Callithrix jacchus: one gene and its partner. The main gene of each other region encodes a partner of the protein of the gene in region 2 in a complex. Links are inferred from orthologs where the notes say so. Each region holds a gene or a part of one and is shown on either strand. Other genes may lie near its edges. The genes, in order: PTH2 and PTH2R.

Region 1 (3,233 bases), on a different chromosome or scaffold from region 2:
GAGCCCCGCAATCTTTTTTCCACTGTGCCTGGAGAGAAATGTGGAAGTGATGGGAGGGAGGAACCGCGAAATTTAAAGATGAGAGCCGGTGGAGAGACAGAAACCCAAAGGAGGGGAAGAAAAAACCAAAAAGGAAGATATGAAGGAGTCGGGCAGAGGAAAAAGGAAAAAAGAAAGTAATGGAGAAGGGAAGGAAGAGTTTCAAAGGCAGAAAGAGAATAGAGAGAGGAGGCAGAAGACTCGGAAGCCAAGAGGGTGATAGGGGAGATTCCTACAAGGACTCAAAAAGACGAGGACCCACACCCAGAGAGGAAAAAGACCCAGATAAGGGGGCAGAGACAGAGGGGGACAGAGACCTTGGAGATTACAGAGAACCAGAGAAAAGGGGGCAGAGATGGGGATAGGGTGGGACGGGGGCCCAGAGTGAACTGAGACAACAGAGCTGGGGCGGGGGGCGGTAGGGAAGCAAATATCCAGAAATAGGAAAGAAGCCAGCTGCCTGGACAGAGAAAGACCAAGGCAGAGAAACTGAATTGAGGAAAGATTATAATAGAGGGAACTGAAGGGAGAGATGCCAGAGTGGCCGACACAGAGTCCTGTCTCTTTTCTATTCCCTCCTTTCCCGCCCCGCCCCCCAATCCAACACACATGCAGGTCGCATAGGAACGAGTCGCAGTCCGGAGCGCACGGCAGGGTCTTTATTAAAGCGGGGACGGGCGGCGCGCTCAGGGCGCGTCCAGCACCAGCAGCTTGTGCATGTACGAGTTCAGCCAGTGGCGGCGCTGGAGGGCGGCCAGCAACCGCGCGCGCTCCCGGAAGGCCGCGTCGTCCGCCAGCGCCAGGCTCCTCCGCGGCCGGGGGGTGGCGGGATCCACCCAAGCCCGTCCTGGGGTGCGGAGGCTGTGGAGAGACGCGACGACCGCGCGTCCAGACCCGCGCTCGCCGCCGCCTGTCCTCCCCGCTGTCTAACTCGAAGCCCTGTTACTGCCCTGTCCGTGGAGTGGCTCGGTCTGGCTCCCCCTGTCTCTCTCGTTCTCTGTGTGGGTCTCTGCCCCTCTACTCACCAGGTTCGAAACTCCCTGGGTACTGAGAGCCAGTCTGATGCACCTGTCCGCCCCCAGCGCTCGGCGCATGGCCAGGAGCGCACCAAGAACCCAATAAATGTTGCTCAAAGGATGAATCCCTTTCTGCATCTACTCCTTTCGAGCCTCTCCACGCCTTTCTCAGGATCTGTCTTTCTGTCTCTTTCTCTTGCTGATTCTCTGTCCGTTTCCCGCACCATTACCACCAGCAAACCCCCCTCCGGTGTTTCCCCACTGCTAGTCTCTTTCTCGCTGGGTCTTGGTCACCCTCTCTTTGGGTTTCTGTCCCCCTGTCTGGGTCTTCCTCCGCCTTTCTCTTTGGTTCTCTTCCCACTTCTCCAAGTCCCCACCCTTCCCTGGGAGTCCTGGGCCTGGCACCTACCTGAGGACCCCGGCGGGGGGCAGGGCGACTCCCGAGACAGTGCGGACGCCCCAGGGCACCACCAGCAGCAGGAGCAGCAGCAGCCGCCGAACCCGAGGGCTCGTGGACACCTGGCGGGCCTCCATCACCTGTGGAGAACCAGAAAGGGGCTCAGTGGGGCGGCATCCCGGCCCAGAACCCCGGACCCCACCATGCACCCACCCTCAGCTTCCCGCACGGCCCCCTACCGCGCAGTGGGCTCGGGCAGCGGCGCTGGCAGCCCCCTTATATCGCCTCCGCAGCCCCCGCGCCGAGCAGTGACGCAGGCCGGGGGGCCGGGGGCGCGGGGTCACCCCCTCCCCAGGCTCATTAGGAGCCGCCAGCGGTAATGAGGAGCCGGGGGTGGGGGACCTGCCGATGCCTTGGCCGCCACCAACTAATTGGGACCAAAAGCTGGACCTGAGACGAGGGAGGGGGAGAGACAGACAGACAGAGAGGTGGACACAGGGGGTGTGTCAGAGGGATAAAAATAGAGACTGGCGGAAGGACCGTCAGAGAAACAGAGACACAAAGAGAAGGACAAAGACAGAGTGGCCAAGGAGGAAATAGAGTAAGAAAGGGAATGACACAAAAAGAAATAAAAAGGAAGAAAGCAAGAACAGAGAGGGAAGGAGACGGAAACGAACAATCAGATGGAGATGGAGGAATGAAGGAAAAGGCTCGCAGAAAGACAGATGGAAACGGAAGGACATCCTAGGCTGGACAGAGCTGCCACAGATAAATCCAGCAGGGAGACACCAGAAAGATTGAGAGCGAGACAGAGAGGAGGAAAAGGCAAGAGATGGCAAAAGGTACATGTGGCAGGGGTGCAAGGACAGGAAAAGTGACAGGCAAACATCAGAAAAGGCACAGAGAGAGCATGAAGAGGGGAAGAGACGGGATTCCCGAGCTGCCCTAAGGATGCATCTAAGCCCTTATCTGGGGGGAGTTTAGGGTGCTGTAAAGATTAATGCCCAGTCCTCCTCACACTGACTCTTGAGAGGGGCCTCAGTCAGGCACGATGGCTCACGCCTGTAATCCCAGCACTTTTGGAAGACCGAGGTGGGCAGATGACTTGATGTCAGGAGTTCGAGACCAGCCTGGCCAACATGGCGAAACCCCATTTCTACAAAAATACAAAAATTATGCTAGATGTAGTGGTGGGCACCTGTAATTCCAGCTACTCGGGAGGTTGAGGCATTAGAATCGCTTGAACCCAGGAGGCAGAAGTTGCAGTGAGCTGAGATCACACCACTACACTCCAGCCTGGGCAACAGAGCAAGACTCTCTTTCAAAAAAAAGAGGAGTCTCTATGCACAGTGAGGAGGAGATGAGAAAAACTTGGAAGTCCTACAGAGCAGCAGCTATCTGGGATGTGGGAACTTGGGCTCTTAAGGAGGGTGGTGGCAGATGCTTGGACTCCTGAGTCTAACAGTGGTTGGCACAGGGACCTAGAGTCCCAGGTTCTGGGGGAGAAGAAAGCTGGGGACTTGGATTGCTGGATCTGAGGAAGGAAGGAGCTAGAGGCCTGGACTTCTGGGTCTGGTAGGAGGGAGCTGGGGGATGAAACTTAGAGGACTTGAAATAGGAGGGTACCAGGGAATGAGACCACTGGGTTTCCAGGTAGGAGAGGGTAGAGGGCTGGGACCACTGGTTTCAAAAACATAGTTTAACGGGGCCACATCTCCGCTACAGCATCCCAGTTTCTAACTCCCTTCCCCACCCCAGGGACAACGTCCTTTACTTCTGTC
Region 2 (3,816 bases):
TTTTTAATTAAGGAGATAAAAATAAATTATTTTAACACAATTCTTCAAATTTTCTATTAACTTTTAAAGCATTGTACATAAACTAGTGCATATCTTGAGTATGGCCACCAACCATCTTTAGTTATTTTTATTCTTAAAATAGTAATCACAGAAAATGGTTATAAGATTAGAGTTCAGTATAAATTAAACCATGGTTTAATTTAATGGCCACTTAACAGTTCTGAAAAGTTTGCATTTTATATCATGTAATAAAAAAATAAATATAACCACAGAGTACACTAAGTATTGTGACTATTTATTTCTATCAATGAGATTGAAATTATTTTGAAGCACTTTATCTAAACTGAATGCTGACATTAGTTCCACTGTAGAGTACCTAACAATCTCCTCATCTTGACTTATTTTATCTAAGAAGCTTTTCAACAATTAAATGTAAAACTGAAAGTCTTTCAACCAATTCCTAAAGAGCTCATAAAGGTAGAAAATTAAGAAAGGAAGTTCTATTAATGCAAAATCAAAGAAAAAAACCTTCAACTCACTACTTCTCTTGCTGCTGTTCTCCCTCCCTATCTCTTCAAAACATTACCAGACCTAAAGAAATAAGTCAAAAGTTTGAAAAGTTTATGTATGATAGATTATTCTCAGGGTCTACATAAAGATAATTTACACACAATTTATCACACTAACCCCTAGCATTATATGCATATATCATCATGCATTTTTACTCACAAGGTCTAAGTGATATCAATTTAAACATGCCTTTTAAACCAATTTTTATAACTTAAAAGTCACTCTCTACAATATCTCAAAGTTTACATATTATTTCTATACTGGAAACAGCACTGATGTGAAATTAGGACATACAGGCTCTGCTTTAAACCCTGTTACCACCAAGCTATTTCACTTTGACCAATACCTAATCTCTGGTTCTCAGTTGACTCACATCTGTGAAATTAATATGCTGGAAGATTTATATGATGCCCCTTTCTCCTTTCAATCCTACAACTCTAATCTTTTATATGCTAATGAAATCACCTACTGGTAAATCTTATGAGGTGGAAAATACCCTCTGACATGCAAAGATCCTTCTGGAATATACAGATGAGATGTAGCCATTCACAGGTAACCGAGAAGAAATAATGAATCATGTTGCTAACTACCTATTGGGATTTTTATATGCAATATAGCATAATATAATGCAATGTAAACATAACATAATGTAACATAACACACATAACACATATACAGGTATATTTATAAGTATGGATGATGTATCTCAGCCAGGTAGCTCTAGGCTATAGAAAATACCAGAATAATTGATACACATCTGAAAAAATTGCAACATTGCTTTTATCTTTTATGATCCCTGTGTCATGAAATAAGAGGGTTTTTATATATAATAGTTGGCAATCAAGAATTGCATCAAAAACATCATTCTGCTTTCCCTTAGGAGTTCACAAATAGAAAAATTCCATTACCTTTCCTATGCTGATATCTGGCTGCAGAAAGCGAAGGCAGTCTGAATAATTGGCATATGTTTTATTTAAGCTGTGCATAAAATCCCATGTTCCATTGGGGTTGCAGTGTCGGAAAGCAACTCCTGTAAAGACATGAAAGGTGCTGAGATCACTCAGTTCCCTTAGAATCAATTAGCAAAAGCTAATGACGAGTAAATGTTTGTTTCAAATTAATCATTTCAGAAAAAGTCAATACCTTTATGGTTGAAGTCATAAATATAAGGAGGACATGGAACAGCCGATATTTTCCCCACTGTTCCTCTGGGCCAACAAATGAGTCCATCCCATTCAGGGAAACAATTACCTTCTACTGAAGAAAAAAAAAAGATAAACAAAAATGTAGTTGGAACCAGACAACAAATGCATTCAAAATGCAAAATTTCAGGTCATTGCCTATAGTAAAATTAAAACAAATTGGTAGTTTTAGAAACTAGATAGGATAGATACGATGCAAACGTCCCAAAATTCATCTCTGTGGCTTCATCAAAGGCCCATTCATAGGAACATTTGCTTTGCACACATTAAAAATATTCAAATTATTCCAGCATACTAGTTATAATGGCTATAGCAATTCATTTACAAGAAACATTGAAAATCATTGTGAACAACTTCCGTAGTCAAGTTCTTCTGACCACCATAGTCGTAGCTACCTTTTTACACTCAATTCTTGAAAACTGTTTTTAAAGAACATAACACCTGAAACAGTGCCCTTCACTGGTAAGCCCCAAGACTCAGGTTTCTCTTTTTGCCAATACTTTTAGCAATTTCCTTGAGTCTAACATTCATCTCAAACAAAATTCTCATAAACTCTACTCTTCTCAAGATTAATCCACAACTTCATCACTTCTCACAACTTCCACTGCAACCATGATAGTCCAATCCACTTCATGTCTGATCTGAATAAGTGCAACAGCCTATGACTGGTTCTCCTGATTCCAACATTTCTTTCTGCAGGACAATTTTCTGGGTGGCATCAAAGAACCCAATTCTCCCTGCCCCTCTTTCTTGTAGTTCTCAGGAATAACTATACAATGTGCTGTAAATGCAGCATGCTGAGATAAGGGCTGGAGAACTGCCTGGAACAGTCCAGGCTCTGTTCCAGACCCTCCCAGAAACAGGATGTCTCCAGACATTAGCCCAGTGCACCGTGTGTTCCCTGAGGTGTATAACCAGGGTTGGGCTGTTTGATGGGATCCCTCCGCTGTGGTGTACACAGTCCATGAGCAGCTGAGATTCCATGCAGCCCAGGGAGCTTTCCTGAGCTATGTGGGACCAGTTGCCAATGACTCCTAGGCTTCTGTTGTTCCTTGCTGCCTACCTGATGAGTTTGTGTCCTTTGTAGAGACATGGATGAATCTAGAAACCATCATTCTCAGCAAATTGACACAAGAACAGAAAACCAAACACCACATGTTTTCTCTTGTAGGTGGGTGATGAACAATGAGAACACTTGGGCACAGGGAGGAGAACACCACTCACTGGGCTAGGAGTTGGGGGTGAAGGGCAAGGGAGAGGAGGAAAAACAAAGGGGAGAGGGAGGGCAGGGAGGATGGGGAGAGATAACATGGGGAGAAATGCCTGATGTAGACGACACGGGAGGCCAGGGGGATGGAGACAGCAAACCACCATGGCATGTATGTACCTATGCAACAATCCTGCAGAGTGGAGGATGTGCACATGTACACCAGAGCCCAAAATACAATAAAATTTTAAAAAAAAGAAAATAGAGTTTTGTTTCGTTTTATTTTTTTGAGATGGAGTCTTACTCTGTCACCCAAGCTGGAGTGCAGTGGCACAATCTCGGCTCACTGCAACCTCCGCTTCCCAGGTTCAAGCAATTCTATCTTAGCCTCCCAAGTAGCTGGGACTATAAGTGCATGCCACCATAACAGGCTAATTTTTGTATGTTTAGTAGAGATGGGGTTTCACCATATTGGTCATGCTGGTCTCAAACTCCTGACCTCAGGTGATCCATCTGTCTCAGCCTCCCAAAGTGCTGGGATTACAACCATGAGCCACTGTGCCTAGTCAAAAAAATAGAGATCTTAACTAGCATTCTCTCCTTAATCATCACTGCCATCCTATGTGAGCAAATACTTTCATTATTTGGCAAGGATCTAATTAATTTGCTAATGGCTCACCAATCTCTCTTCATAAATCAGCACCATTAATTATAACTCTGTAATTCTTTTTGTGTGACAGGACAAACTAATTATGAGTGAAGCTCGTCAAACCATGACATTTATACAGAACAGTCTAAAATTTGAAGAATCTTTTTCTCTTTTCAAACAAAATGTGA

The links.
Region 1: the proteins of PTH2R (region 2) and PTH2 are in contact, whole or in part, in a cryo-EM structure (PDB 7F16), measured with the Homo sapiens proteins. The link is inferred for Callithrix jacchus from reciprocal best matches to the Homo sapiens genes PTH2R and PTH2. Residues at the interface, in NP_005039.1 of Homo sapiens: Thr31, Ile32, Ile34, Gln37, Ile38, Asp68, Gly69, Leu70, Ile90, Tyr91, Asp92, Phe93, Met112, Lys117, Ala120, Tyr122, Leu126, Gln130, Pro131, Ser134, Lys137, Gln138, Phe141, Glu142, Tyr152, Arg190, Ile194, Lys197, Val201, Ile205; in NP_848544.1 of Homo sapiens: Ser62, Leu63, Ala64, Leu65, Ala66, Asp67, Asp68, Ala69, Ala70, Phe71, Arg72, Glu73, Arg74, Ala75, Arg76, Leu77, Ala79, Ala80, Leu81, Glu82, Arg83, Arg84, Trp86, Leu87, Tyr90, Met91, Lys93, Leu94, Leu95.

Annotation. Positions count from the first base shown.
Region 1 is NC_133523.1:43,184,825-43,188,057, forward strand, and holds PTH2 (parathyroid hormone 2), read right to left. Parts: upstream 1,594-3,233; 5' UTR 1,590-1,593; coding exon 1,465-1,589; exon of another isoform or gene 901-1,464; coding exon 726-900; 3' UTR 677-725; downstream 1-676. UniProt on the Homo sapiens protein: Plays a role as a potent and selective agonist of PTH2R resulting in adenyl cyclase activation and intracellular calcium levels elevation. Induces protein kinase C beta activation, recruitment of beta-arrestin and PTH2R internalization.
Region 2 is NC_133507.1:129,919,541-129,923,356, reverse strand, and holds part of PTH2R (parathyroid hormone 2 receptor), read right to left. Parts: intron 1,828-3,816; coding exon 1,714-1,827; intron 1,601-1,713; coding exon 1,479-1,600; intron 1-1,478. UniProt on the Homo sapiens protein: This is a specific receptor for parathyroid hormone. The activity of this receptor is mediated by G proteins which activate adenylyl cyclase. PTH2R may be responsible for PTH effects in a number of physiological systems.